Tamandua tetradactyla: one gene and its partner. The protein of the gene in region 2 purifies or fractionates together with the protein of the main gene of each other region. This does not show direct contact. Links are inferred from orthologs where the notes say so. Each region holds a gene or a part of one and is shown on either strand. Other genes may lie near its edges. The genes, in order: RPTOR and BRAF.

Region 1 (16,844 bases), on a different chromosome or scaffold from region 2:
GAAAAAGGCAAGAGTTTCAGAATGTTCAGGCAATTATAAATATTCTTCTTTGATATTACATCAAAACTTGGGAAGTGGAAGTTTCTTAAATGATTGCTGCAATCTACCTATCTGAATAGAATAGAAAAAAGAATAGAATATCTATAACCTATCTGAAAACCAAATCAATCAACTTTTCATACCCTTTTATATTAAGTCCACTGCTCTAACTTTGAATAGTTCCTTTACCATGACATGGATGATTTTGTAATGTCACAGTTTGGTCATTTGGAAATTTTCTTTCATTGAGGTATTTACATAGTCCAAATGCTGACACAAATCATCCTTTAATATCAAGAAAAAAATTATCTTCATTAACATCACTATAATCTCACCAGAAAAGTCCTTAAGTACTGGGACACATTCGAGTTCACAGTGGCAGAGATGAGTTTTCCATAACTCTTATTTTCACTTGAAAGTTCAAATTTTATCACTGGCAACAAATACTATCAGCTGTTTCCCTTTAAGTGACAGGCCCACTTCATTCATTTTCTAGAAAATGTCTGCCAAAACCCACGTCCAAGCACCAGAGCTGGCCCATCCATCCTCCTTCCAAGCCAAGCTCCAGCTCCATAAAAACAGCAGCTACTGCAGCTGGCAGTCCACATTGCTACCCCGCCACCAACCATCCTACTTCAGTTTTCACAAGTCCGTTCTGTAAACTCCCCAGGTCATCACACAAAACATTAAAGAGGCAAGCACTAAAGAGTGAGATTCAATAAAACGAATCATGGTTACTGCTTCATCAAGGACATTCTCAAGTAAAACTGGAATTTTTCTATTTTTTTCTGTCAGTGTGTGGCCAGATAGGAAACAATAACTACTAGTATAATTTGGGACCACTGTTTTCAATTCATATATAATGCCAGCAGTTTAACTCACTGTTACTTTTGTACCATCACTGTAGATGTCGACACTGTGGAAAAGGCAAATGACATTATCTTTCTTAAGAAAATAGTTTTGATTGCAGACCGCCTGAAAGGGTCTCAGGAAAGCCCAGGAGACCATACGGCATACCCTGAGAGCAGCTACGCTATAGCACTGACACCATTTTCAATCTGAATGATGCGATGGTGGTCTACTGCTACTTTTGTAAGCCCCCTTCCCTCTCACCTGACTACTATATCCCCACATATTTTTTGTTTGCGACCCCAGGACCTCTGAATGTACCCTGAATCTTTCAACTGAAACATTTTGGTAGTTCAGTTTTTTATTTTCAACTAGACTTTGTTTCTCAAGTTCCACTGCCTCTCACTGCTAGCCATGTAACTTCAGGCAAGTCATTTCATTTAAAACTCAGCTTCCTCATCGATACCATGGAATAATAATTTTTAACCAATTTACAGCACTATGGACCCCTAAGAAAGATAATTTGTGTGAAAGTCCTTGGTAAACTATTCATCTTTTCATTGATACACTTCATTGAATCCCTACTTTGTGTCAGGCACTGTCCTTTACACCAGTTTATTTGTAGAAGAGGGAGTGTGGAGGAAAATGTCTGAGAAACGAAGAGTGGTCAAAAGTGAGTGCACGGCTGCATTGGGTTGGGTGATCAGGGGTGGCCCCTGGAGGACCCGGAAGCCGGGTGTGAACAATGATAAGGAGCTAACTCGAAGGAACTCAATGTTCAAATCCAGAGGGCAAAGCATCACAGGCTTTGTGAACCAAGAATAAGGAGCTTGCATTTTATGCAAAGCACTGAGGAAGATATAAGGAAGTAAGATAAGTTGAGTACATTTCTTAAAGATCATTTTGACCACTATGTAAAGAATCAACTGGAAGGCACAGTGGGCATAGGGAGACCAGCCAGAACACCACTGTTATTGTGCAGACAAGCGATGCTGGCTGCCTGGACTAGAATGGCAGCGGTGTAGATAAAATGAAGTGGTCCAAGAAAAGATGTGTTTTCAAGGTAAAGTCAACAGGTTCTGCTGATGAACTGGAAGGGAGATGGGGCAAGGGAAAGGAAAGAATGAAAGATAAAATCTATATTTACAGCTTGAACTGGGTGAATGGTGAGGACAGCATGCTGCAATAGAGAAAACTAAGGCAAAGTAGGCAATTACAATCTGAGACAGGAGTTTCAGGAGCAGGTCAGATCTAAAAGTGGGGGATTTGAGAGTCACTGGCATGTAAAGGGCATTTCAAACCATGATCCTGGATGAGATTCGTGAAGGAGAGGTGGACACAGAAAAGAGAAAGATCACTTTCTTAGGCACATCCTCAGGAAATTAGTGACCTAAAAGGAAAACCTGGAGTTTCATAAAGACACAGAAGCAGGTAAAGAAAGAGTTCCATGAAGAAGGGAGTGGTCATCTGTGTGGAATGCTGCTAAAAGGTCAAATAAGGTCAGGACAGAAAACTGATCTTTAGATTGAGCAAGAAATGATGATGGGGTCAGAAGCAGCCTTAGTGAAATGAAGACAAGCCTAAGTGGAGCAGACTGAGGAGTAAATGCAAGGGGAGGAACCGCGGGGAGTAATGTGTGATTGTAAGGTATTACTATTATTCCTGCTTAAAAGACAACCTAAACATTTTACTGTCCATGTATTAGTTCAATGTACCCACTCTGCTTCCTCTGTAACTTATTCAAAGCATGGTTACAAAGCAATGCAACTAAGTCTAGAGGCTGGTTTGGCATCATCGTTTTATAGTTATATCTCATATACACATATACAGGTGTCTGTCCAACTGCTTCCTTTTAGAGTGAAAGCACTCAAGCTTTTCTGATTCCACATCACATATACAAAACAAAAGTTGCTTCTGAGACCAATTACCCACCTACCCCACTTTCCAGTGAAAAAATAAACTCTGTGACAGCTGTAAAATATCACAATAAAATACAACTGGGTAGAGGATATATATATATATGCTTTAGACATAAGTATATGACTGACTCATTTTGTACTGTAAGTTGTATATAAATCTAATTATTACAGCATCACAACCATAAAAAACTATTGATGTATATGAATATCATTCACTCTACACTGTATAAGTAACCAAACAAAAGAATAAGTTGACAATAATGGCATTAAACAAGAGTAACAATAATTAAAATGCAACAATAGCAGTATTTGAAAACCAGGACCTACTCAAAATAAAAATTGTCAGAACTCCAACTGAGAGTAGGCATGTACTGTAGCTTTGGAAGGCTGCCAAATGTTAAAAACTTCTTAGAGTCTTCAGTTAACTTTGGTAAATACGTAAATTTTAGGAATCCATAACAATTCCACTAATACAACACTAGTAAGTTTGTACATACACAAAATAAAAGTACAAGGAAAGGCACATCAATCACAGAAAGAAACGAAGATTGAGTCTGCCTTTTGGAACAGTTAACGGCCCACCAGGAGAAGTCTACACAATCTCTACGGCACTGTGACCAGGCCCGTCTGTGGTGACACTCTCCAGCAGAGAAACAGTTTGGTCTGGATGCGTTGGTACCAGAAAGTCCTAAAACCAACTATAGGTTTCATAGCAGAGGAGGAGTCACACATGGGTAGCCACTGGTCAAAATCAGTCCATAGCAGCACAATACTACCTAACTGTAGTACAATTATGTTAAAACACCGAATGAAGCTGAATGTGAGAATGATAAAGGGAGGAGGGCTGGGGACACAAATGAAATCAGAAAGATAGACAATAAAGACTGAGATGGTATAATGTAGGAATGCCTAGAGTGTATACTGACAGTGACTAAATGCACAAATTTAAAAAATCTTTTTGCATCAGGAAGAACAAAGGAATGTCATTACTGCTGGGTGCTGAAAACAGATGGTAATTAATATTTTAAAATTTTAACTTATGTGTGAGACTAAAGCAAAGAAATGTTTATTTGGTACAAAATTTATATTTTGACTAGAGCATTTCCTAATATAACTTATGTAGACAGCTTAATTGAACACCATAAGTACATGGAACCTTGAGTAGGACATGAGATTTTGTTGGTTTGTCCAGAGAGATGACCTGATAAATCCCAGAGTGATTTGAATAGTAAATAAAAAAGTATTTGGAAAGTCCCCTTCGGAGAATGGTGAGAAAGCGGGAAAATTCAACTTCCCCAAGTTGAATTCTTGATATTTTCACAAGCAGTGTGGACAATCAAAGCTATAGAGTGAGTCCCCAGTCTTGAGGTTTGTTCATATGAAACTTAACCCCACAAAGGACAGGTCAAGTCTACTTAAAATTAGGCCTAAGAGTCAGCCCCAAGAGAACCTCTCTTGTTGCTCAGATGTGGCCTCTCTCTCTAGCCAGCACAACAAGCAAACTCACCACCCTCCTCCTGTCTACATGGGACATGACTCCCAGGGGTGTCGACCTTCCTGGCAATGTGGGACAGAAATCCTAGAATGAGCTGAGACTCAGTATCAAGAGATTGAGAAAACCTGCTCGACCAAAAGGGGGAAGAGCAAAATGAGACAAAATAAAGTGTCAATGGCTGATAGATTCCAAACAGAGTTGAGAGGTTATCCTGGAGGTTATTCTTACACATTAAATAGATATCACCTTGTTATTCAAGATGTAAAGGAGAGGCTGGAGGAACTGCCTGAAACTGTAGAGCTGTGTTCCAGTAGCCATGTTTCTTGAAGATGATTGTATAATGATACAGTTTTCACAACGTGACTGTGTGATTGTGAAAACCTTGTGTCTAATGCTCCTTTTATCTACCTTATCAACAGACGAGTAAAACATATGGAATAAACATATGGAATAAAACATATGGAATAAAAATAAATAATAGGGGGAACAAATGTTAAATTTAGTTTGAAATGCTAGTGATCAGTTAAAGGGAGGGGTAAGGGGTATGGTATGTATGAATTTTTTTCTGTTTTCTTTTTATTTCTTTTTCTGAATAGATGCAAATGTTCCAAGAAATTATCATGATGATGAATATGAAACTATGTGATGATACTGTGAATTACTGATTATATATGTAGAATGGAATGATCAAAAGTTAAGAACGTTTGTGTTTGGTGTTTTTTGGTACTTAAAAAACTTTTTTAATTAATTTTAAAAAATCAGTCCATAGGTGGTTTTGTTTGGCCTGCAGTGTTGCACTGCATAGTTATTTGTAATATCTCATTTAGTTCCAATATTTAAAAATAAGGGAAGGGGAAGGGGAAGGAGGAGGGAAGCGGGGAGGAGGAAAATAGGGGGCAGGAAGGGAAGGGGAGAGGGAAGGGGGCAGGGGTGGGAAGGAAAAAAAGATAATGCACACGAGAGAGAATTCTAGCTGAGGCCCAGCTGCCTTCTTTAGATAGGAATATGCTCTCCAGAACCCTCCATTCCCATTCTCCAAAAAATCTACCAGACACTGAAAATCTACAAGACACTGAGCCAAATGTTATCTTTGAACTTATGCCAGTATTATTCTCATACCTGACCTGCTTTGTTCATTTATGCTACCTTCTAATTCTAGTCCAGTGGATTGAAAAGACCCCCTCGAGTTTTTTGACTAGAGGAAAGAGACTTCAAGGACTCTTTAAAACCTCTCACAAATGTAACAGAAACTGTTAGCTGTTGATTTTCGTCATTATTCAGCAATTTGCAAAGGTCAGATACAGCAAACTTTCTCCCCTGGTTCTTTTCTGAATGGCAAACTCAATAGTTACTCAGACTCTCACAACTTTTCTTTACTTAATGATCTATGACAAGCTTATTAGGGAATGCTCGGCATTCACAAATTAATATATATCAAAATATATCCATCAATCAGTTTTGAACAATTTGAGCGTGGGTTTAAGGTAGTAAAAGGAACCACATTTCAAAGGAAATAAAATTGCCCTCCAAATAGAATGTGGGGGAAAAAAAGATTAGACAGAGTTGCTTTAAGATAAATTTCTTTTCATACATGAACAACAATCCCAAAAGCTTTAAACTATGTAAGTAGTACTAAAGATGTTTATACAACAGACTTCTTCTCCTAATGACCGTTTATTGTACATTTTAAGCTACTCTTGGATGAAAGAAGTTTTCCTAATCTTTTAAAAATAAACCAAATCAATAACTGAAGCACTGGTTGAATTACAATAGAGTAATCTTACATGTTTAACATCAGATATTAAAAACAATAACCTCCTGTAAACATGTACTGAGCCTAGAACAAACCATATTGTATTGCAACACCAACTTCCCCTTTTTATACCACTGAAATTCAGTTCAAATAATAAAGGCACCCTTGAAGGAGAAAATAAATCACAAAAGGCCAAATTACAAGTGTGCACAGATGAGATGGTTCCACCCTTTTGCTTTGAAGACCAGGAAACATGTGGTTGATTAACTATGCATTCTACAAAAATGGCTTTCTTCTTTCCTAGCAGCTGCTTGCGAGCCAATGAATAATACACTCCAGCACCATGGGGGCCCAGACCCACTAAAAACGCCTGGACCCAAATTCCAACCATCATATGCTAAATTCCACTATTAAAGAAATTCTGTTTCCATGGTACAACAACCACAATACCATATGAGTCTAGATTCTAGACAAACTTTTGAGAGGACTATAATGAAACTCATTGTAACTTTAAAACAACCTTGCATTAATTTGTTACTAGCTGAACATTTCACAGTAATCCTGTTTCTTAGCACACTGTTTTATATTAGACTTCTGTAATTACCCAGTTTGGAACCCACCCCCTATTCCCCCAAAAGTAGACTATCCACATGGGTCCAAGTGTTGGTTTATATCCCAAATTGTCTTTTCTCTAAATCCAACAGCACTAGATATAGTAAAGAGTGTATAAATATTTACAATACTGTATTTCCAAATCTGCTCAACTTTTACTAGCTGAATTAGAACTTCGTTTGAATTGAATTAACGCTACCCACTAATTACTAACCAAAACAATCTTTCCCATTTTCAACCAAACATTGGAGTCGGAAATGCTTCTTGCTTTTTGGTTGACTTGTAACATGTGGCTGGGAAAAAATACCGGCGCTTTCCCAAGGACACGCCTCTGGCTGAACTTTCCTCGTTGGCAAAATTACCAAGGTCCAAGGGACTCGGTTAGGACCTACTTACCCGGTCCTTCATCCTCCAACTCTGTGCTAAAGATTTGGAGCCCTCGATTTTTTCACAGTGCCTCTTCTTCATAAAAGCCAAAGGCAAGTTCCAGTCTGTAAGGTCGGCTTCATCTTCCTCCCCGAGTCCCAGAAGGGGCGACTGCAGCATCTCGGACTCCATCAGGGAAGGAGGGGGTGGGGGAGTCCTTGGCAGTAAGCGCTCCAAAACCTCCAGCCTTAAAAATCAGCGTGTACCAGAATTGGTGAAATAAGAAAAAGAAAGAAGAAAAAAAAAGGGGGGGGTTAGAAAAAGAAATGAATGGAGAGTATGCAGAGACCCTTACTCAAGCAAAAAGTCTGAGCTCCCTATCTCTAACTCTGCGCGGGAAGTCGAAGGAAAAGCCGGTGGCAAACGGGGCAGCCCAAGGAGCTCCACACAAATTCACACACCCTCAGACCCCAAGCCACTGGCTGCTTCTAGAATGACCGTCCTCCGAGCGTCTGGGAGCCGAGCTGTCAAAGGCGTGAGACTTCAGGCCTAACGATGACCCTGCTCTCGGCCTCCACCGCCCCAGCAGATCGGAGGGCAGGCAAGCCCCCCGGTCTTGGTGCCGGTTCGCCGACTGGACGAGATCTCCGGCCGAGAGCTATTAGTTCTGGGCGCCTCAGGTCTCCTCCAGTCACTCTCAGCCCTGAGGGTCTCGTACTCGCCTAAGCTGCTGCAACCAGAGCCAGGATCGGCCCATCGTGCTGGCCTGCGGCCGGTTCCTCAGCCCCGGGACCGCGCGGCCTGGCTGGTCCTGGCCCTCGGCACCCTGGCTCAATCCTGCCTGAAAACGAGTCCTAAGGAAAGGGCGACACGGCCCCGCGGATAAAACGGTAACGTGGGCTTATTGGGTTTGGAGAGTTCTGCCCTCTGGTTTGGAGCGACAGTGAAACTCCTCTCATCAGCACATCAAGGAGGACGCCATGTTGCCGAGACCCAGAATGCATTGCAATCTATGGCGTGCCTGACGGGCCAAACTTCCTTAAAGCATTCTTCTCTAGTTCTCTAGATCCAGCAAGACAAGAATTTCCTGCCTGGTTGCCTGGGTTACCACAATTCGGCCTCTCTTCATTTATCGCCGCATGGTATTACAGTCACTCCCAGAAATGAAACCAGATTCAGTTAATTAATTTTGAAAAAAGAAAATCCATTATTGCAACCCAAGTTACATGCTTGTGTAATTAAAGGAACCGACCGCCTTGTTTCTTCCAGATTTTGAAAAGAAGGCAACATAAGTTTCAGGAAAAAAATCCATAATATTTCAGAAGAAAATTAGTATCTTTTGTACTTAGTATCTGCCACAGTACCCAGACCAGCAGGTTCTGTTTTTAATTTTCTTCAGAGAAAAACAACTGAAAAAAAAATACCTCATAGGTCATTTTTTGTTTTTTCCACCATATTTTCTGAGCAGTTTTTTGTTTTTTCAAAGACCAAAAGCTATGGATTTCTATGCGTTGAGGCAGTCCTCCCAGATTATTTTATTTCTCAATTTCAGTGTAAATAAACACTCTTTATTTACAATGCGCAGGAAACTGTTATTAAGTGCAGTGGGGAATATAAAGCCGAATGCAGCGATCAGTCCCTGCCTTCAATAAACTTAGTGTCTAGGGAGACACACACATACCTTTAGTTAAAGCGGGACGGAGCAGACACTCGGTCTTCCTCTCTGCTTCTGAGTCGACACACCTGGATTCGAATCTTGGCCAAGTCACTTTCCATCTGTGTGACCTTGGCCAATCCCTTAACTAGCTGTCTTTGTGTCCACAACTGTAATACTGGGATAGTAATCCCCGCTTGGAAGGATAAAATTAACTCATGCCTCGTATATAGTGAGCATTCAATAAGGATTAGCAATAATCTTTCTGTGGCTAGAGTGAAATCTAGCAAACCCTTCCTGCTTTCTTAACCGAAAACCTCAGGTTAGGCTCTCGAGGATACCCTGTTGGTGGCTTCCTAGGACTTTGACACAATGTGGCTGTCCGCCCCCAAATCCTTATGGCATGTTCTCCTCTCAACGGTGGAAGTGCAGATGAGGGCAAGATTGTTCTTACCCATAGCAAACATTTAAATTTGCAAACTCAATCTACTCTCATTGCATTTGTTTCATTATTATACCCCACTAAGCCCAGTTCTCGCATTAGAAATCAGGGCAAATTCACCAATCCTTAAAGGGGGGCTACGACGTTTTGGCAGAGAGTATCCCCACAATCATGAGCAGGAACTTGGGAAGACCCTATTCTCACCAGAAGGCAACAAAATAACTTTGGCCCCTGCCTTGTCTTCAGGCTGAGGACAGCAGGGAAGGTGGCACCTCTGGGCTTCAGGCAGCTCCCTCCAGCAGGACCCTGTGCTGCAGTGGAGCCCCAGATTAAACCTGTCCATTCCAAACCTGAGCAAACCCCCTCAGTCTGACTGAGGCTCAGTGTACCCACCTGTTAACATGTGACCCTGGGGAATCAATCCACTTACCTTGTCTGACACACTAAGTGACGTTAAGAGATGAGCCCATAGTGCATAACTTGGCAGTTGGGAAAATACTTAAAATAAGGATGCCTGGCTCTATCTTGAACCTATTAAACTGGGAAAGAGGGGTTGGAGAAATGGGATCTGCATTTTTTCAATCAGATAACCCCAATGATAGATTAAATCAGCCATATTTGGGGACATTAGACAATTTGCTCTCTAAGGTCCCTTTCAATGCTCCAAATACATGTGGGCCCTCAATAAATACTTGAACCAAAAAAAAATTTTTTTTTTTACTGTAAAGCACCTGGCAAAGCAGAGCAAGAAAACACTGAAAATTTCAGACTAAAACACTTCTTCTCCTGCTGTACAATGTGACACCAGAATCAAGAGGCCAGGAGGGGGTGAGTGCCCAGGCCGAGTCTCCAGCCCACCCACTGAAACCTGCAGACTCCGCAGAGCCTCTGCCTGTCTCCACCCAAAGTCTCCACATCTGTGACACAAGAAACCTGAAGAAGGTGCTCTCTAAGGACCCTTCAGATACAAAATCCTGTCATTTGTGTAAAACCCAGAAAGGGGCTCCTGGCAGCCCAGCCTCCAACCTACAGATTCAAACATGAGCTTGAGTCATTTCATCACATCATGACATTGGAAAGAAATCTCATTCCACGTGTCCCGGATGATTCTATTCCAGTCCCAGACAACCCTTCAGCTCCACATTTCAGGAACACAGAAGCACCTATGACAACAACAGGCTAAAATCCAAGGGCTGATGTTTCCCAGCTGGGTGATCCCATCACCATGGCAGGGCCTGGCTTGGCCACTTGGGTCTGCCTTTCCAACTTCCAGTGTCTCCAATTCTTCAGAAGCAAAGACATCTGCTTTCCGCAAAGGTTCGAGACAAAATAGTTTCAACAAGTTTTACAAATCTGAAGAAAAAAAAAAAATGCATGAAACTTGGTCTGATTCAAGCTATGGAAATGGGGGAGGGTCGTTCATGACACCTGCCCCACTGAGTCTTAGAAAGAAATAGTCTTTTATATAAGACTTGACAGCAGTGTTGGCAAGGCAGAGGGGTGTAGAAACCATCCTGCCAATGGTGGGCAGGGGCCCCATGTGGAGGGAACTGGGGAAGGGGAGGGGCCTCTAGGCTCAGCTCTGATCTGAAATATCAGAATAGCCCTTGACCTGCCTGCTCAGAGAGGGGGATGTGTCCTGACCATGTGAGGACAGACGGGAGGATGCCTTCCAGCCCTAAAACTCAGACTCTGCCTGCTACATGAAAGACACCCTGAAGCCAGAGATACAGCCAAGTGGGCAAGAGGACAAATATCAAAACCTGAGTGTGTTGATCAAATGGAACAAAAGTCAAGGGTAAATATGGGAGGGGGGGTGGAAGGTGAGAGGGGGTACTGGGCAGAAAGGATGGGATTAAATACCTAATGTAAGGAGCAATTTGTGGACGAAGGTCAAAGGGGACTGGATTTTCACAGCCTGGAAGCTCTGCTACTGGCCCACTCCAACTGACCTAATCTTTCCCCGAAACGGAAGACCCTTGCAGCCTAGGTGTTCCATTTGCACGCAGCACCGGTTTTCCATCCTCCAATATTGCAGTTTCTACACTAAATCAATCAAGGGCATTCAGTGTGCTTTGTCATCATCAAGAATCAAGAGTGAAACCCAAGGTCGGACAACTGCAGAAAATTGGGTGCTTTGCTGAGCTATTGTTTTCCACAGACAGAGACCGGCCGGCTCCATCCCTTCCAGAGAAATCTGTGCTTAGCTTAAAAGAAACCAAAATAGATATAAAGTACTTTGTTTTTCTCCGAGCATCATTATTCTGTTTTTAGCAAAACCCAAGCCGTCCCCCACCACACCCTTGCAGGTCAGATGTTTTGGTGACAGTGAAGTGAGAAGGGAAAGGAAAGGGAAGTAATGGGACCTGAGCATCACCTCCAGTGGGAAATGCGAGGTTGCGAGAAGACAAGTCTGTCTCTCTCACTTTCCACGTCGTCTTCTAAAAATACGGTGGTAGATGTATGTGTGATCTTCACTCTCCACAGTATACTTTTCTATTTTATTTATAACTTTTTTCTTACAATGAGCGTGTATTATTTTGATAAGCAGAAATCAACAGTGTTATTCTGCTTTAAATAAGGGATGACCTCTGAGTCACGTGGGGACTATGGTGAAAAGTGACCCCTTAGTCAATAAACTTCACTCACTGGCCACATTTCTTATTTCAGAATTGAGGATTTTTGCACCGTCCCAGCCTTAAAGGGACAGCAGCAAGGCAGAGCAGAGAAGGAATTGGGCGTGTTGCATGAAGACAAGAGACCAGGAGTAAAGCCTCAGTCCTGCATATACTGAAGAATTTTCCAGGGAGAAGACAGTGAAATGTGACCTTTACCTCAGCCCTTGCCTCCCCTCTTGGGAGGCTGTTCTCCACATGGGGTTGTGTTGTCCGGGATGACAAAGCACCTGTTTGGGGTACCTAGAATGTAGAGCAAGGTGGAAAGCAGAGCAGAGGGAGGGAGGGGGGAATGTGTCTGGGTCACATTCCCTGTTGGTCCAGTGAGGACCCTCTAGCCAATCAGTCTGGACAGATGAGTTAGTCCACCTCCAAGTCATTCCTGGATCTGACCCCGCTGTCCACAGCCCTTGGAAATTCTTTGTGGAGCAGGATGAAAACAAGTGTCCTTCCCAGGTCACAAACTCCAAGATCGCCCTCCTTGCTCCCCCAGGACCCTGCAGGTGGAGCAAAGAAGATGGACATGTGCCCATTGCAGATAGCGTGTTAAGAGAGGCCCCACCCGAACAAGACGGCGGAGTGAGATGCTTCAGGGCTCGCCCCCCCAACAGAGAAGCTTCGAAAACCAAAAAGAACTGGCAGAAACGTCTTTCTCAAAGCTCCAGAAGACGGTTAAAGGGCCTCAAAAACAGGGTGAGCACCAAATCAAGAAAACAGGTACTGAAATTGGTAGAACCCCATGGTACCCTGGCTGGCCCGCCCCCCACCCCTCACCAGCTCAGCACAGAGCTGCCCAGGCTGCCAGTGCCCCGGTCCCAGCCTCAGAGGGAGCAGTCTGACCTCCTGGACACCCTGGGAGCAGGTGTGTCTGGGCCAGTCTGTCTGGGGGTGGCCTGAGAGACTCGCTGTCCCAGAACTTGTCCTGCATGTGGAAGGAGGCTCACCGGGCAGAACACTATGGGTGAGCAGGCAAGCTGCGCTGCCTGGGCAGGGGACTGCTGCTGTGGGACACACAGGGCAGTGCCCCTGACCGCGAGGAAATTCCTAGAGAAGAAGGGATATTCGGAACCATGTAAGTGGGGGATTTCCTAGGGCCACATTCATATGCCCAAGACAACATACATGCAAAAGTATCAGAAGGTCCCTGCACGTCCACCTCGAGCTATTCTCTAAAATCATTGTGTGGATAGACTGAATGAGAGCTCTCTCACCTGTCCATCTACGAAGACAGGGAAAGATATTTCTTCCCCCCCCCCCCCCTTTTTTTTTTTTTTTTTTGTTGTTAGTTCCTGGCATTCAAGGAAAACTCTGTATTAACACTAGCTGGATATAAGCTGAAGAAATAGATGCCTCAGAGTCTAAATTCCAGTGATCAATCAAAGAAATAGGAGGTGATAGTCAAGACAAAAGAGAAGATAAAGTATTGGAAACCATCAACAAAGAAGACTAGGCCTCTAACGAGGAGAACAATGGCTTTTAAAAAATTGTCTTAAATATGCTCAAAGAGCTAAAGGAAAACATGGACAAAAACCTAAAAGGAATCAGAGAAGTGAGAGACTAACAGAAAAAAAATATGCATAGAGAGAAAGGAAAACCATGAAAAGGAATGAAACAGAGCTGAAAACCATAGTAACATAAATTAAAACTTCCCTACAGGGGTTCAGCAGCAGATTAGAGCTGGTAAAAGAAAGAATCAATTAAATTGACTATTGAAATCATCTGCTATTGGGTTCACAGGTGGTTCAGTGGTAGAATGCTCACCTTCCATGAGTGAGACCTGGGTTCGATTCCCGGACCATGTATCCCCCAAATAAATAAATAAATAAAAATCATCTGATCTGAAGACCACGAAAGATGAAAGAATGAAAAATATTGAAAGAAGCCCAAGAAACCTGTAGGATACCATCAAATGTACAAATATATACATTGTGGAAAATGCAAAGAAGAAAGAGAGAAAGGAGCAGAGAGAATATTCAAAGAAATAATGGCTGAAATCTTCTAAAATTTAATGAAAGACTTGAATTATATACATCCACGATGCTCAACAAACTCCAAGCAGGATAAACCTAAATAAACTCATACTGTGCCATGTTATAATCAAACTGTTGCCTGCCAAATGTAAGAAGAGAATTTGGAAAGATACAAGAGAGTAGGGAATATATTATATACAAGGGAGCCTCAATAAGATTAAGTGCCAGTTTCTCACTGGAAACTATAGAGGCAAGAGGGCAGTGGGAAGACATATTTAAAATGCTGAAAGCAAAAAAAAAAAAAAAAAAAATTGCCAACAAAGAATTTTATGTCCATCAAAACTGTCTTTCAAAAATGAGGGAAGGAAAAAAAATTAAAGAAAAAGAATAAGGGAGGCAGGTACCGTGGGATCAACAATGCTATCCTGACCAAAAGGGGGAAAAGAGAAATGCAATAAAAAAGGTATCAGTATGGGCCATGGTGGCAGAGTTCTCACCTGCCATGCCAGAGACCCAGATTCAATTCCCAGTGCCTGCATATGCAAAAAAAAAAAAAAAAAAAATTGTGAAAAAAGGTATCAGAGGCTGAGAGAGTTCAAATAGAGTCGAGAGGTTACTCTGGAGGTTACTCTTATGCAAACTTCAGTTAGACCTTGCTACCTACCATGACTTGCCAAACCCCACCCAAAACCATTCCAGTCAATCCTAAAGAACACCTATGGCATTATATAAGATTCTACAAAGGTTCCATGCATTAGGGTTGCTTTCCAGAAAACTGCAACGTCCAGATGGGTCCCTGGACCCGATAAATCCTGAAATGCACAGGGGCCAGCCTCTCCAGAACATCAGTTAGTTCCATCTCCCATCCCATATTATCGACAGCCTCTTCTGTGCTAATTTGAAAGGATGTATGGACCCTAGAAGAGCCATGTTTTAATCCTAATCCCATTTTATAAATCCAACAGTTTCTTCTAATCCCTATTTAGTACTGTATTTTGAATCTATAATTAGATCATCTCCCTGGAGATGTGACTCAATCAAGAGTGGTTGTTAAACTGGATTAGGTAGAAACATGTCTCCATCCATTCAGGTGGGTCTTGATTAGTTTACTGGAATCCTATAAAAGAGGAAACATTTTGGAGAAAACTGAAGATTCAGAGAGAGCCGAGAATGCCACAGCACAACGAAGCGGAGAGTCCACCAGCCAGCGAATTTTGGAGATGAAGAAGGAAAATGCCTCCCAGGGAGCTGGAGAGGAAGCTAGCAGATGACGCCATGTTCACCATGTGCCCTTCCAGCTGAGAGAGAAACCCTAACTGTATTCACCATGTATCTTTCCACTTGAGAGAGAAACCCTGAGCTTCATTGGCCGTCTTGAACCAAGGTATCTTTCCCTGGATCCCTTAGATTGGACATTTCTATAGATTTGTTTTAATTGGGAAATTTTCTCAACCTAGCAACTTATTAAATTCCCCATTTTAAAAGCCATTCTATTTCTGGTATATTGCATTCCCGCAGCTAGCAAACTAGAACACCTTCCAACATGAAAAAGTTAGAATAAGCATAGCCCAAATACCCCTAAAAGAGTTAGAAAAAGATATATAGAGAAGGTTGGGTTTAACAAATGAGTATGATTGCTAAATCATTATATTGTTATTTCTTTTAGTCTCCAGTATCTTAGAGCAGCCAGAGGTAAAAACCTAAAAATGTGGAATTCTAACCCATACCAAACTCTGAAATCTGTTCTACAATTAAATGTTGTGATGTGATTTGAAATGTATTGTTTTTTGTATGCATGTTATTTTTTACAAAAAAGAAAAAAAGTAAATTTTGCTGATAAATGCACAGCTGTATGATGATATTGTGAACCACTGATTATACACTTTGGATGATTACATGGTATGTGAATATATAATATATATCAGTAAAGAATAAATATTTATTTTAGGTGAGAGAGGGATTAAGACATTCCCAGGAAACAAAAGCTGAAGGAGATCATCTTTAGTAGACTGGCCCCACAAGAGATGATAAAGGGAATTCTACAGGTTTAACCCAACACCAACAAAGGATTAAAACCTCATGAAGAGATAAAGATCTCTGGTGAGGATAATGATGCAGGTAAATATAACTGCTAGTCCTACTGTGGTTTTGGTTGTAACTGCACTTTTTACTTCCTACAGGATCTAAAGGACAAATGTATAAAATGATAAAGCAGTGGTTTTGGACTCTGTCATGGTCAGGTTCACGTATCAACTTGGCCAGGTGGTGGTACCTGTTTGTCTGGTTGGGCAAGTGCTGGCCTGTCTTCGGCTATGAGGACATTTCATAGAATTAAATCATGATGACATCGGCTACATCCACACCTGATTCCATTTGTAATCAACCAAGGGGAGTGTCTTATTTAATGAGTGATGCTTAATCTAATCATGGTTTGGCAAGTGCTGGCCTGTCTGTTGCAATGAGGACATTTCATAGAATTAGATCATGATCATGTCAGCTGCATCCACAGATGATTCCATTTGTAATCAGCCAAGGAGATGTCATCTTTGTGATGATTAATCTAATAACTGAAAGCCTTTTAAGGAGGATTCAGAAGAGGCAGGCTCTCTTCCTGCTTCGGCTGGCGAGCCTCACCTGTGGAGTTCATCCAAACCCTTCATCAGAGTCATCAGCTTAACAGTCTGCCCTATGGATTTTGAACTCTATGTTCCCACGGTTATATAAGACACTTTTATAAATTTTATATCTATGGATATTTCCCACTGATTCTGCTTCTCTAGAGAGCCCTAACTAATACAACTTGGTACCAGGAATGGTTCTTATAAAACAGAATCTTAAAAATGGGTTTTTATGAATGGTTTTCTAAATTGACTGGAGTTCATAGGCACTAAGGATTCTGATTCCCATAATCAGAATGACATTACCAATCCCTGGAGTGAGTTGGCAAAAGAGATAGTGAAAATACCACCATTCAGTTCTTCTAACACTTTCCTTGTATGAAGCCAGGCTCTGGGGGACAATGTTTTTGATGCCTTTACGGAGTTTTGTGGAAATAGTAAGTATAGAGATG
Region 2 (15,883 bases):
AGTGTATAATGATAGTGACTAAATGTACAAATTTTCAAAATGTTTTTGCATGAGGAAGAACAAAGGAATGTCATTACTAAAGGGTGCTGAAAATAGAGGGTAATATTTTAAATTTTCAATTTCTGTGTGAGACTAAAACAAATAATGTCTATTTGATACAAAATTTATATTTTGACTAGTGCATTTCCTAATATAGCTTATATAGATAGCTTGGTTGAACACCATAAGTACATGGAACCTTGGGTAGGACATGAGATTTTGTTGGTTTGTCTGGAGTGATGCCCCAATGAATCCCAGAGTTATTTGATCAGTGGATAAAAAAGCATCTGCAAAGTCCCCTTCGGGGAATGGTGAGAACAGGGGAAAATTCAGCTTCCCCAAGTTGAATTGTTGATATTCTCAGAAGCAGTGTGGACAACTAAAGCTATAGACTGAGCCCCCAGTCTTGGGGTTTGTTCATATGAATTTTAACCCCACAAAGGACAGGTCAAGCCTACTTAAAATTAGGCCTAAGAGTCACCCCCAAGAGAACCTCTTTTGTTGCTCAGATGTGGCCTCTCTCTTCAGCCAACACAACAAGCAAACTCACCACCCTCCCCCTGTCTATGTGGGACATGAGTCCCAGGAATGTGGAACTTCCTGGCATCATGGGATAGAAATCCTAGAATGAGCTGAGACTCAGCATGAAGGGCTTGAGAAAAAATCTAGAATGAGCTGAGACTCAGCATCAAGGGATTGAGAAAACCTTCTCGACCAAAAGGGGGAAGAGTGAAATGAGACAAAGAGTCAATGGCTGAGAGATTCCAAACGGAGTCGAGAGGCTATCCTGAAGGTTATTCTTACGGATTAAGTAGGCATCACCTTGTTATTCAAGATGTAATGGAGATGCTGGAGGGAACTGCCTGAAAATGTAGAGCTGTGTTCCAGTAGCCATATTTCTTGATGATGATTGTATAATGACATAGCTTTCACACTGTGACTGTGTGATTGTGAAAACCTTGTGTCTGATGGTCCTTTTATCTACCTTGTCAACAGACGAGTAGAACATATGGAATAAAAATAAATAATAGGGGGAACAAATGTTAAATTTAGTTTGAAATGATAGTGATCAATGAAAGGGGTATGGTACGTATAATTTTTTTTTCTGGTTTCGTTTTATTTCTTTTTCTGAATAGATGCAAATGTTCCAAGAAACGATCATGATGATGAATATGCAACTATGTGATGATACTGTGAATTACTGATTATATATGTAGAATGCAATGATCAAAATAGGAATGTTTGCATTTTTTTTTTGTATTTTAAGAAAATTAAATTAAATTAAAAAAATAAACACAGTTAAGAGGTTGTCCTGGTGGTTATTCTTACGCATTATACAGATAACCCCTTTTTAGTTTAAGGTGTATTAGAGAGGCTAGAGGGATGTGCCTGAAACTGTAGAGCTGTGTTTCAGTAGCCACGTTTCTTTAAGGTGATTGTATAATGATAGAGCTTTCGTAAAGTGACTGTGTGATTGTGAAAACCTTGTTCTGATGCTCCTTCTATCTATGGTATGGACAGATAAAATATGGATTAAAAATAAATAAATAATAGGGGGAACAAATGTTAAAATAAACTGAGTAGAGGGAAATACTAGTGGTCAATGAGAGGGAGGGGTAAGGGATATTGAATGTATGAGTTTTGTTTTTTTCCTTTTTATTTTTTTTTTCTGGAATGATGTAAATGTTCTGAGAAATGATCAGGTGATGAATATACAACTATGTGACGATATTGTGAGCACACACATACAGATTGCACACCAAGTATGTAATGTTCATACATTAAGAATGTTCATGTTGTATGTGGATTGGTTTTATCAATAAAAATTTTTAAAAAATAACTACTACAACTGAACAAAAAGATGAACAATTCAATTTAAAAATGGGCATAAGATCTGAACAGACATTTCTCCAAAAAAGAAATACATGTAGCTAAAAAGCACATGAGAAGACATTCAACATCGTTTATGATTAGAAAAATAAACCAAAATCATAAGACACCATTTCATACCCACTAGAACGGCTACTATTTTAAAACAAAAAATCAAGTGTTGATGAAGATGTAGAGAAACTACAAACCTTGTACATTGGTGGTGGGTAAATAAAATGGTACATATGCTGTGGAAAACAGTTTGGCAAGTTCCTGAAAAGGATAAGTATAGAATGACCATATGACCCACAAATCTCTAAAGAATTGAAAGCAGGGCTCATATAAGTATTTGTATACCAGTGTTCACAGCAGCATTATTCAAAACAGCCAAAAAGGAGAAACAACTCAAGTGTCCACCAGTGGAAGAAAGGATGAACAAAGTCTAGTGTATATATACAGTGGAATATTATTCATATATTAAAAGGAATGGGGTGGGCAATGGTGGCTCAGTGGCAGAGTTCTTGCCTGCCATGCCAGAGACCTGGGTTTGATTCCTGGAGCCTGCCCATGCCAAAAAAAGAAGAAAGGAATGAAGTTCTGATACATACAACAACATGGATGAACCTTGAAGATATCCTGTTGCCTGAAATAAGCCAGACACAAAATAACAAACAGAGTATAATCTCACTCTTATAAAATAATTAGAATAAACAAGTTCATACTGTCAGAAGCTAGAATACAGGCTTACCAGGGACTGGAGAGAGCGTAGGGAATGAGTTGTTAATGCTTAATTGGTACAGAGTTTGGAGTGACAGAAAGTTTTGGTAACAAACGGTGATGGTAGCATAAGATGGTGAATGTAATTAACAGCACTGAATTATGTATTTGAATGTGAAAGGGGAAATTTTAGATTGCACATAAATTACTAAAATGAAAACTTAAAAAAAAACAAAGGACTGTACAACACAAATAGTGAATCCTAATGTAAACTATGGGCTAAAGTTAAGAGTATAGTTATAGTAATACAGTTTTATCAAATGTAACAAAGGTACCACACTAATACAAAGTGTTAATTATTTGGGAAAACTGGGCCTGGGGGGCAGTAGATGGGAACTCTGTATTTTCTGCAAGATTTTTCTGTAAATCTACAGTTTTCTACTAAAAAAATAATAATAATAACACTACAGGCCCTCTGGAAAACCGTGTGGCAGTTTCATAAAAAAGTAAACATGCAACTACCATATGATCCAACAATCACACTCCTGGGCATTTATCCCAAAGAAATGAAAGCATATGTTCACACAAAAACCTGTGCACATGTGTTCACACCAGTTTTATTTTTAACAGCCAAAAATTGGAATCAACCCAAAAGTCCTTCAAAAGGTGAGTGGTTGAATAAACTGGTATGTTGATACCATGTAATACTACTCAGCAACAACAAAAAAGAACTATTGATACACGCAATGGCTTGGACTACTCTCCAGGGAATTAGGCTGACTGGAAAAAAAAAGCAATCCCAGAGAAATTTTCTAAATAAAGAGGTGGGTGAACACCTAAAAGAAAGAGGGGGTCCACTAAATGAGCAGAAAGAAAGTATACAGAAAGGAAACAGTACAAATATCAAAGACATATCCTAAAGAGCATGTTTTCTCCGCCTTCAAATATATCTAGGCACGTATTAATAGCAATAGTCAGAACTACACAAGCACATACCTTAGTGGGACTACCACATTTCAGAGGTATGATGCCATCCAACCTAGTTTGGCATGGCTCACAAAGAAGTCTTCTCTTACAGTGGACTTCATTATAAAGGAGATTCCATTCCAGAATATTCCCTGACATCATTATAATTACAGCTTAACCAAGATTAGAGAGAAAGGATCTTAAAAACATAAAATTGTAATTGTAATGGAATTGTAAGTAGTGCCCTTCTAAAGAAACCCAGCATAATAGAGAAGTTAATAAAAATCATACTTTGATAATCTCATACCATATGGTCATAGAAAGTAACATCAGGGAAACACAAATGATAAGAAGTCAATGTTTAATGCCTAAAGTATAAGCACATTCATTTGATAAATATTTAATAAACTCTTGTCATTTAGCAGAAAATTCTAATTTAAGCATCTACAAAGTTATGCTTATAAATACAGAACAAGAAATTTGTTCATTCCCTAACAAATTTAAAGGCTAAAATTTACTATTCTAAAAGCTAAAATTTATATTCTATGTTCAAGATGTTTTTTATGGTAAAAATTTGATGCACCCTAAAATTAAAAAAAAAAAGTTTAAATAAATGGTAGTTTATTTCATGATAAGTAAAAAGTTTTGCCACATTAAGTTAGAAAAGACTGCAAAACTACATACCAGATATTATACATACATTAAACAAAGTAGATGGATATACATCAAAACGTTTATAGTAGTTATATCTGAGTGACATTACAGGTGATTTTTCCATTTTGTTTTTACACTTTTATTTTTCGACTATGAACATGTTTTGTCTCTGTCACTAAAAAAAAAAATACAGTTGAAATTCCCCTCTAACAGACTTAAAAGAAAAAAAAAGCAGAACTTTATTTTAACATCAGGTAAGGTAACTTTATAATAAAATGTCATTAAACACAAACACAAATTTTCATTTCTTTCCATGTACTTGGCAATTATAAGACATCCCTTTAAGTGGATATAAGGAAGACAGTTTAACCAAAATACCACAATACATTTCAGCTTCCACTGATTTAACAATATCAACTTCAAATTTAAAATTATTTCTTGGAGGAACTTATTCTACCATCTATAACACTGATACATACATTCAAGAGAGACCGATTTTTAAAATCATTCACACCCCCCCAATATACTTAATGATCAGCCCATAATAGAGAGGAAAAACAACTACTCATCACTAAACATTAAAACCTGGATGGAGGGGGCAGTGAGAAACACTTTTTCCAGTATTTAAAATTAGTTCAGAGTATCCTTATAGCTTCAGGAAATAAGACTATGCTTTCCAGTTACTGCTAATTTAAACTTAAATTCATTCAGCCTAGAGGTTCTCAAGCATTGGTGTACACAAGAGTTACCCAGGAAGAGCACCAAGTATAGAAACCCATGAGCTTAGTGCTCACCTACTGAATCAGAATCTTGAGTAGGTAATGCCGAGGAATCTGTATACTCCAATCTGGCCCTTTCAAGGAGGATAGCAGAGTAAAGATTTTACCCTTCCCTATATCATTGAAAACTGTTCTCATAACTCTGAAAAAGTTCTCAATGTAAACAACGTATATAATCAATTTCAATTTCATAACCCATACCCATTAATTTATTTGTCCTTCCATTCCTTGACAGCCTTCAAAAAAAGCTACAATAAAACAAAAACACACCATGTACGCAGAGTAAAGTAAAGCCTAGAGGCACCTGTGCTTGGTAAGACAAAGGCATATCCGATTCATGGAAAAAATAGACAGCAGATGTGACCCCTAGTATTTATCCATTAAAAACAATGTATCCTAAAAATAAACTTCCATGTCAAGGGAACAAAGCTGTTTATAAATAAGAAGGAATGTGGAGGTGTGGGGAAGACAAGAGGAAGCTTCAGCAAATTAAGTATCAAAAGCCAGGAAACAAGGCAGAATGAATGGTAACTGCGGACACAGAAAACAGAATAAAGCACAAAATAGAAGGGAAGAGCCCTATCCTTAGAATCCAAGAAGTTGAATAAAATAAATATTAGAGGAAACTTACCTGAGCAGAAATGCAACCTGGAAAGTGGAAAGTGGAGTGATTTTGTTAAGAAGGGAGAAAAGACGAGAAATTGAGATTAGATCAAACGATGGCACAAAACACATTTTAGGTATAGATGCAAGTGGTAAAAGAGGGTGGAAAACAAACATAATTGTGAACAAAGTGACTCTGAATAAAGCAGGCATACCAGATGAATTCCCAGAGCAGAGAGGAAGAAGCAGGAAAAAGAATTATGCAGATAGAAGAAAGAATGAGAGGTTATGACAAATGGTAAACAAGATATAAGTACTAGGAAGGAAATGGAACTTCGAGCAAAGTCAACAGAGTTAGTCTCATTACCTAAACAATACTACTAAAACAGTTACTATACCATATGTTATCTTATCATTGGTAAAGTAAATAAAATGTACTATTTTAATGTAATAAAATATCTGTAAAGTGTATGTATTTGTAAATTAAAGTATACTGTTTATGTAATAAAATACTAAATGTAATAAATTTTACATAATAAAGTGAAATGCAAATAAAGTAACCTAACAAGATAGGTTGAATAATGCCAAAACAGGCTGTGAAAAGTAAGGCCTAAAAAAAGAAAAAAAGTGAAAGAAAATAATTGGGACAAAAAAGGAGAATAATAGAAAAAAATAAAACTACAGAATATAGGAATAAAGAGGTGAGAAAACACAATGAAAGACCAGCCAAAAAGTGCCAATAGTGGAAGGGTGAAAAAAAATTTCACAAGTGTGAAAACCTGATGGAATTCTGACAGCTTCAAGGATTCAGAAAATAAGTAGCTTCAAAGTGTCCTGAAGGATTAACAACGTGACGGAACGGTGGCACGAAGTAGAGGGCCTCAAGAAACTACAACAAGAGAAGTGCACCAACGGTTTTAAGTAGAAGCCTACATTAAGAAGCAGGGAGGTCCCAACAACTTGAAAATGAGCAGGGCAACAGATCATAATGGTATTGGGGGCGGCCAGTCAGCGACAGAGCGCTGACAAGCATTAGGGACTGGCCTGAGACCTGGATGGAAAGGACAGCGGAAACTGTGGTACTTAAGAGTTAAAAAAGCAGAGACTAAATCAAAACCATCCGCCGAGTAACACAGGTGAATATAAATGACCAAACAGTGGAAGGGAGGACAGTGGCCTAGGAAAAAAAGGGGACAATCAGAGAGAGTAGAGGGGGAATTACGCGCCCCATCATCCTCATTATCTTCTAATAATCACACACAACAGTAAATCAGACTGGGGTCTCGATCCCATCCACTAGCCTACATACTCCTCCTGGATGAGGCCGCCTCCTCCCTGCCCACCCCCACCCCCCAAAAAAACACGAAAACATCTAATAGATGCCGGGCTGGATACCTCAGTCAGTCGTGACCTTCTCGGACCAATCCTGAGTTTCGCCCCCTACTGATAGCCTCCTGCTCAACCACCGCTGCCCGTATCCCCAAATCTGGGGTGGGGGCCAGGGGAAATCCCCCTTGGCCACTGTGTTTACGTAGCGAAGAACCGCAAAACCGAGAGACCGGAATGGAAGAGATGCCCATCTCCCACCTCGCAAAGCCAAAAGGAGAAGGTGGTTGAGGACACCAGAGCCTCCACCGCCACCTCTCTCCCCAAAATAAACACAAATCAGCCAAGTTAGGAGACAAGAAAGGTGATAGTATGGCACCGGCACTCACCTCCTCGGGAATGGCAGGTTCCGCAGCCGAAGAGGCCGTGGCGCCGGCACCGGCCTCGGGATCCATATCCCCGTTGAACAGAGCCTGGCCCTGCTCCGCGCCGCCGCCGCTCAGCGCCGCCATCTTATAACAGAGCTGGAGCCCGAGCGACCGCTGCTGGGCGGGGAGGAGGAGGGCGGGGGGAGGCGGGGGCGGAGGCGCGGGGGCAGCGGGGAGGGACGATCGTGGTGGCGCCGGGGGCAGGAGGGCGCCTGGGCCACCTCAGGTACCGGCCTGCGGCCCCGGGTGAAACGGTGCCTGAGGGGATTGGGGGAAGGACGCTAAGCGGAGGGGGGGGCGGGGGAAAGGGGCGGAGACGACTAGAAGTCGCCGCGGCAACGGCGTCACCCTCATGTCACTGTCGTGACGTCACCCCCGTAGTGCGTGACGTAATCGTAGGAGCGCCCTCGCGCCGTTGTCAGGAGAAGGTTCTATTACCTTCTACCCACGCGCGCGCTGGCGTGTTTCCTCAGCTCCTTGGTTTCCATGGCTCCGATTTCCTATTTTATTATCATTTCCTTGGTCCTAAGCCTGTTCAGTAATGTGGGATTTATTAGGAGAGGAAGGCTGGTGTCTGAGAAATTGAAATCTTGGAGGAAGCGGGGAAAGCCCACACTACTTGAATTATTTCAGTACAATGAAGGTCTCCGTGTTATTAAAAAAAAAAAAAAAAAAAAAAGGAGATTTTTAAACCCCAAGATTGAAGGCTCCAAGTAGGATTGGATAAAAAAGTATACTTCAGAACAGCTTAAATAATTAGTGCATTTCTTGTATCCTTTCCATTTAAGAATTTGGCCTGTTGAGTGGGTCTAAATGGAAGTCTAATAGCTTTTTTGAGGAAGTAATGTTTTCTTAAGTCTTCATTTTCCAGGTCTATTCGTTTAACAACTATCAATTGAGCTTTATATGTGCTATGGCCTATACAAGGGACGGCATCTGGACATCTGAAGCATCAAATTTTTAATCATTTTTTTTCCGAGAAAATCATATACTTTTGTGCTTTTTATAAACAATTTACCAAGGCCTTCTCTCTGCTAAACAATTGTAGAGGATAGGTAAAATCACCTTGAAGTGCCGAATTATAAAATGGAATTAAAGAAATCAAAAGTGCTATTAAAAATGCATATATTGGGCGGGCCGCGGTGGCTCAGCGGGCAAGAGTGCTTGCCTGCCGTGCCGGAGGACCCCGGTTCGATTCCCGGCCCCAGCCCATGTAAAAAACAAACAAACAAACAAAATATAATAAAACAAGAAAATGTTTAAAAATGTTTCCCTTTCTTCCTCCCTTCCTTCCTTCCATCCTTCCTTCCTTCTCTGTCTTTCCTTCCCTTCCTCCCTCTCTCAAAAAAAAAAAAAAAAAAAAAATGCATATATTAAAAAAGCAAGAGAGACTCAGAAAAAAAAAGGGATAAATAGGAATGAGAAACACAGGAGAACTTACTGTGGACTCCCAGTGGTATGCATTTAATCACCAAATTAACCTAAGCATATAATTGAAAGTGTGGACAGGAGAATTTTCCTGAACTGTGCTTTTTTAATACTTCCCATAGAGTGGGAGGAAGTTACCACTGACCTCCTTATTATATTTAAAATGATTAAAGAAATATAAACCTGGCTAACTGATTTCTGAACCAGGGTATCTGCATATCAGTATGCTTAGGAGTCAGTGTATTAGTTTGCTAATGATGTTGGCATGCAATATACCAGAAATGGACTTGCTTTTATAAAGGGAATTTATTATGTTAAAGTTCTGAAGCCATAAAAATGTCCAAACTAAGGCATCCAGATAAGCATACCTAGACTTAAGAAAAACCAATGTCTGTCACATAGGCAGGCATGTGGCTGGTGTCTACATCCCTTCCTGGCTTTGAGTTTCAAATAGCTCTCTCAGCTCCAGCAGATCCTGCTGGCTTCTGGCTTGCTTAGCATCTCATGGGAAGGTACATGGTCATGTCCCCCATGACCATGGCTCTGTGTCCCCCAAACAGCTATATCTAGGTGTCTGCTCTCTTTGTTGGTACTCTAAGCATTTCCAAATGTCTGTGTCTATGTTGCTTCTTTTAAGGACTCCAGTAAACTTTGAATGGGCAGAGTCACATCTCCATCTAATTAAAAGGTCACACCCACAGCTGGGTTTGTCACATCTCTGTGGACATAATCTAATCAAAAGGCCATGCCCATAATTGAGTGGGTCGATCTCCCTGGAAACAATCTAATCAAAGGTTCCACCCAAAACAATAGATCTGGCCCCACAGGGTTGGATCAGAATTGAAAAAAAAAAACGACTCTTCAGGGTACCTAAAAGTTTCAAACTAGCACGGTGACCATGAGCCTAGAAGCTAATGTGTACTTCCCGGGTAAGGTATTGTATGCAAGGCTGATTGCATACAAGGCTGATTAACAAATATTACCAATATTCCTCAACCCTTAGAAATACAACCTATCAAATGAGGACGGTATGTTTTTTCACCTCCTCTGCACTTTTTCTTCCAAGTAGAAAAATCTCCGTAGGGAAAACATTTAAATTCCAAGGTAGCTTGGCAGATGAAGAGTAAATGAAGTGATCATAAGGTATAAAATCAAGGTATAGTAATTTGTAAGTAAGAAGCACCCTACTTTACCATGGGGACATTCTAAGCAAATTGAAATACCACCATCAGTCATGGCATCCTTACCTTTTATTTCATCAAAACCACACTAACTTTTTTTTTTATTCTCTTACGCTCCTATTTAATTTTTTTCCAATCAGCCCCTAAAGATATTTCATTATCATAACATTTACAGTGCCTCATAACATGCTAAAAGTCCTGAGATTATGGTTTTTACTGGTTGCATTTTAAATTATTGCCTTATTTATCGGCAATAATCCATAGATCATATCTTGCATGGTTATTTCTCCAGAGGATGGCTGAGCTCATCCAGTTAATATTTATTATTATTAGTTTCCCTTTGATTCACTCAACATGTTCTGACCATGTCTTCAAATTCTGGGTATATGTGAGTTCCTTAGGCCAGGCTAAAATCCCACAGCATCCAGATAGAACACAAACCTTGGAATCTAAAGTCAGGATTTTAGTATCACCATGCCACACCTCGGCTGTAAAATAGTTAAACTTAAATCTTCTTTGTTTTCGTCTTTAAAATCTATAAAATAAGGGCTAATAATGTTAGTCCTACTTGTGTAACTATAGCATCTTGAGAATCTAACATTATAGTTTTGCCCTTTGCAAAGTATAAAATGCTATAAGTATTCAGCAAACATTCACCGTGTCCTCTGTCCAGCATTCAACCTTAACCACTCCAAAATTATTTCCTTGCTTGAGTATTGCAAACTTGTATCTCCTCCCAGACTGCTCATTTGCTGTTTTTGTTTTTGTTTTGTCTCTGACTCCCCTTCTTCTCAAATTAAAAATATCAGGGTTCCTCATAGCTCTATTCTCAGCATCCTTTTCTTCTCCTTCTATATTCTGTCCCTTAAAGATCTAATGCACTTTCAAGACGCCATTCAGTAGTCATATATAGACCATTTACAATGGAGCAGACACTGTGGTAGGTCCTCTGGGATACTGAGATGGGTAGGACACCATTGTCCTTCCTTCAGAGATCACTTTTACCTCCTGGAGTGGTGCCATATAATGAACATGTGAGCTGTATTTTAGTAGAATTTCGCTGCCCCAACCTCCTACCCAGGGAAGCAGCTTGAGGTTGAGAGCCCCATCCCTTCAGAGGCAGATTAAGGCTGGGCCACTCACTGACCCTCATCTAACTTACTCAAGTGTTGGTCTGCACCTGTCAGAGCTCTGCCCAAGAGGGGTGTTTCAGTTTGCTAAAGCTGCCAAAATTGAATATACCAGAAATTGACTGGTTTTTCAAAGGGGATTTATTTTACAAATTTACAGTTCTAAGGCCATGAAAATGTCTGAATTAAAGCATCAATGAGATGATACCTGAGCTCTAAAGAAAGGCCGCCACCATCAGGAACACCTCTGTCAGCTGGGAAGGCATATGGCTAGCATCTGCTAGTCCTTGCTCCGTGTTCATTGCTTTTAGCTTCTGATTTTGTTGGCTTTTTCTCTGCTTCAGTAGCATCTCAGGGTGTTTCTCCCTCTCAATATCTGTGAGTCCTCTATTAGCTTCACTGGGGCAAACTCTGGATTTCATCTTTTAGCTTAGCATATACCCGGGGCATTTTCTGTCTTCAAGTGTCTATGCTTTCCCCAAAGTGTCTCCTTAAAGGATTCCAGTAAGCAGATTAAGATCCACCTTAAACGGTTGGGGTCACATCTCCGTGGAAGCAACTTACGCAGAAGGTCTCACCCAACAATAGGTCTGCCCCCACGAGATTGGATTAGAAGAATATGACTTTTCTGGGGTACATAACAGTTTCAAATCAGCACAGAGGGTTATGATGACCAGCCCTATCAGCTCTACCTAGAGTTTGAAATGGAGCCTATATACAGGATTTGTCAGTTGGTATTGAGAGGAGTCCCACGCCGACATGCAGAAAGAAGAAGAAATACCATGAAAGCAAAACCATCCAGGCCCCATGAGAGGAGTAAACAAAGAAGCTGATACTCAGAACTTCCTCAGATTTCCAACAGCTTTCCAATTCCACTTTTTATAACTTATAAATATGACTTTTTATAACTTTCCCCTTTTGCTTAAAGTAGATGATGACCTAAGTGAATTTATGTTAAGTAAAGAAAAGGAACCTAATCCAGGGGAACAAATGTGAAGCAAATAATTAAAATTCAAAGTGATTTCTGTTACATGCTACTACATGGATGAACCTTGAAGATATCATGCTTAGTGAAATAAGTTAGACACAGAGGGACAGATATTGTATGAATCCATTTATATAAATTAGATAGAATATGCAATCATAGAAGCAAAAAGGAGACTATAGGTTACCAATAAGTGATGGGAGGTGGAAGGGATAATAGGAAATTAATGCATAATGGATGTAGAGTTTGTGCTTGGGGTGATAGGAAAGTTCTGGTAATGGATGGTGGTGAAGTAGCAAAACATTGTGAATGTGATTAATCCCCTTGAATTTTATGCTTGGGAGTGGTTGATATGGGAAAGTTCATGCCTGTTTGGGAATTCTGATTTGAGAAAGTTCACATCTGTAAATAGGTGTCCACTACTTACAAAAAGAGAGAGAGTGAAGAGACAATAACAAATAAATGAAATACATGATCCTGGACTGGATCTAAAAATGGAGGAGAAAATGCCTGAAAGAACATTATTGGGACACATGAAAAATTTAAATATAGACTGTAAACATTCTATCAATATTAAATTTCTTGAATTTGGTAACTATACCTAAGGTGTTCACATAAGTGAATATCCTTGTTCTTAGGGAATGATGGAAGTATTATGTTCAAGGAGCATAGTGTATTCAACCTCTCTCAAATGTTTAGAAAATGGATAGATGAATAGATAGATATACACACATAGAAAGGGATAGATACATAGACACATGGATACATAGATACTTAAAAAGATACATAGTCAGATGTATAAAAAGAATGATGTGGCAAGATGTTAAAACTTGGTGTATCTACTGTGAGCCAGTGAATGTATACTTCAGGTGGTTTGTATATGTGATTATGTCTCAAAAAAACTGCATTTAAAAAAAGTTAGTGTATCTAGAGATCTGAGTGGGGGTATGTTCAAGTTCTGTGTATGGATTTTGTATCATTTTTGCAACTTTCCTGTACATTGTAAGTATTTCAAATTAAAAACACTTTAAAAAAATCAAATAGACTTCTAGCCTCGTTTTGGAGCAGCTAGAAAGAAAAATCTGATATAGGGCAATGGTAACCCGTAGCACACTCTGAAATCTGTTCTGTAACTACTTGTTGAAGTGTACTTTGAAAATCATTCTTTTTTCTTTGTATGTATGTTATATTTAGCAATAAAAAAGTTTAAAAAATCAATTAGATGATCATATGGTAAGAATGTTTGTTTGTATGTTGTTATGTTTAATCAATAAAATAAATTTTAAAAAAATCAGCTAGAGGGCAGGCCATGGTGGCTCAGTGGCAGAGTTCTTGCCTGCAATGCCAGAGACCCGAGTTCTATTCCCGGTGCCTGACCATGCAAAAAGAAAAAGAAAAAAAAAATCAATTAGAGGCCTAGATATGAATGACTCCAGGGCTTATGCTCTTTCTGCATTCCTGGCTTTAAAATGGAACCAAGAGAGTTGAACCACCCAGAGAGCTTGGAGAGAAAAGCCCCAGAAGAAGCAAGCAAGGACTGGTAGAGACTGAAAGAGCCAGCACCTGAAAGCAAAAAAACCCAAGAGAGAAGGATCAGCAAACACCAGCCATGTGCTTTTCCATGTGACAGAGGAACATGGGATACCATTGGCCTTTATAGAGGAAAGGTAACTGTTCTAGTTTGCTAGCTGCCAGAATGCAACACACCAGAGACGGATTGACTTTTAATAAAAGGGGATTTATTTTGTTAGTTCTTCAGAGGAAAGGCAGCTAACTTTCCACTGAGGCTCTTTCTTACGTGGAAGGCACAGGATGGTCTCTGCTGGCCTTCTCTCCAGGCCCCTGGGTTCCAACAACTTTCCCCAGGGTGACTTCTTTCTCCATCTCCAAAGGCCTGGGCTGAGCTGCGAGTGCTGAGATGAGGAATGCCGAGCTGCTTAGCTGTGCTACCTTGTGCTCTCTCATTTAAGCACCAGCCAATTAAGTCAAATGTCACTCATTGCAGCAGACACGCCTCCTAGCTGACTGCAGATGTAATTAGCAACAGATGAGGTTCATGTACCATTGGCTTGTGTCCACAGCAACAAAACTAGGTATGCTCACCTGGCCAAGTTGACAACTGAATCTAACTAACACAGTAACAAATTCATATTTAATGACAAATTTTATTTTATTTAAAAAAAGTCAAGTTTGAAAGTATCCATATGAAAGAATAGCCTGAAAAACATTTCACACCAGTAGGTACCATCTGTTGAAACCTCTAGAATTATTATTTTTATTTATGCATGAATGATACAGTATTTATTGAGCACTACTACAAGGCACTGAAAGGCCAATGGTATCTCACGTTCCTCTGTCTGGGCTTTTCCTGTCTTTACCCTCATAAAGAACTCCAGTAAAGAATTAAGACCCACCTTGAATGGGCTGGTTCACATCTCGATTGAAACAACTAATTAAAAAACGCACCCACAATAGGTCTGCCCCCACAGGAGTGGATTAAAAGAATATTGCTTTGGTACAAGACAGCTCCAAACCAGCAAACTCACAGATTCAGTGGGTCAGGTATTCAGACAAGGCATAGCAGGGATGGCTTATCTCTGCTCCGAGATGTCTGCTGTCTCAGCTGGGAAGATTCAATAGTTGGGAGTGTCTCAATGGCTGGGAGTTGGGCTCATCTAGAGGCGTATTTACTCACACTAGTCTGGAGGTTGGTGCTGGGGCTTCGGCTGGGGTGGTTTGCCAGCACACCTAAATACTGCCTTCCCGGGTGACCTGAGCTGCATAGCATGGCAGCCTCAGGGTAATTAGACTTCTTTAGGCTCCAGGCTCCAAATGCTAGTGTTTCAGTAAGCAAGGTAAAAACTGTATTGCATTTTGTGGCCTAGTCTCAGGAGTCATACACTATCACTTCTGTTGCATTTTATTAGATGTAGATGAGTCACTAAGTCCAACTCAAATTCAAAGACGGGATATAGATCACACCTTTTAACAGGGGACATGTCAAATAATTTACAGGTATGTTTTAAAATGGCCACAGTTCAGGTTCAGAGTAATGAACTGGCTACTCTGTAGTAATTTGGTCACCTACCCTCGCCTTCTTCAGAGGGTATTGTACACACATATTCTCCCATTTATTACTTGGAACTAACAGAGAATTTCTCAATGTACTATTGAAGGAGTGTTTACCTTCTCTTTTCAGCTTATGAGGCCTCCACTGCATGTAAAAATAAATGGAGGTTTGTATGACTGTGAAGATTTCTCAATAAAAATATTTTTTAAATAAAAAAATAAATGGAGGTCTCTTGCCTCTGTCCTCTCCTGGGCACTTCCCCTCAGACACCAATGCTGCCACAAGCAGTGTTGATGGGCTGAAACCCTGTACACAAAACACCAGCGCTGTGTTCCTGGACCCTGTAATGAGCCAAGTCAGTCTATATTCTGAGCAAAAAAGGAGAACACCTTCCTTCTGTGTTGCTGTTTGTCACCTGGGCTCCGAAGCAGTATTAGCTTGCATTCTAAAGTCTTACAGACATTTAATTGAACACTTCTTTCAGGTTTTGCTCACCTAAATCCCTCTTTCCCCTAAGGTGTCCATGAGTTCACAGGAAGCTGGAAGACAAATCAGAGTGAGAGGCTTTGTCTCTCAGAACCATTGCTTCCCTTGATAATTGAGACACTAGAAGTCTTGCTGATGTGTCTGACCCTCTCTTCCCTGGAGATATTTGTTTCCAACTGGCTTTTCTGCATTCTGATAGATACTAGATAGTCCCATCCGTCT

The links.
Region 1: the proteins of BRAF (region 2) and RPTOR purify together in Homo sapiens (affinity purification with mass spectrometry; 3 studies listed by BioGRID and IntAct, with this or other methods). This does not show direct contact. The link is inferred for Tamandua tetradactyla from reciprocal best matches to the Homo sapiens genes BRAF and RPTOR.

What each region holds. Positions count from the first base shown.
Region 1 is NC_135332.1:72,765,761-72,782,604, reverse strand, and holds the start of RPTOR (regulatory-associated protein of mTOR), read right to left. Parts: upstream 8,053-16,844; 5' UTR 7,495-8,052; exon of another isoform or gene 7,281-7,494; 5' UTR 7,226-7,280; coding exon 7,064-7,225; intron 1-7,063. UniProt on the Homo sapiens protein: Component of the mechanistic target of rapamycin complex 1 (mTORC1), an evolutionarily conserved central nutrient sensor that stimulates anabolic reactions and macromolecule biosynthesis to promote cellular biomass generation and growth.
Region 2 is NC_135327.1:184,377,556-184,393,438, forward strand, and holds the start of BRAF (serine/threonine-protein kinase B-raf), read right to left. Parts: upstream 7,511-15,883; 5' UTR 7,466-7,510; coding exon 7,343-7,465; intron 1-7,342. UniProt on the Homo sapiens protein: Protein kinase involved in the transduction of mitogenic signals from the cell membrane to the nucleus. Phosphorylates MAP2K1, and thereby activates the MAP kinase signal transduction pathway. Phosphorylates PFKFB2.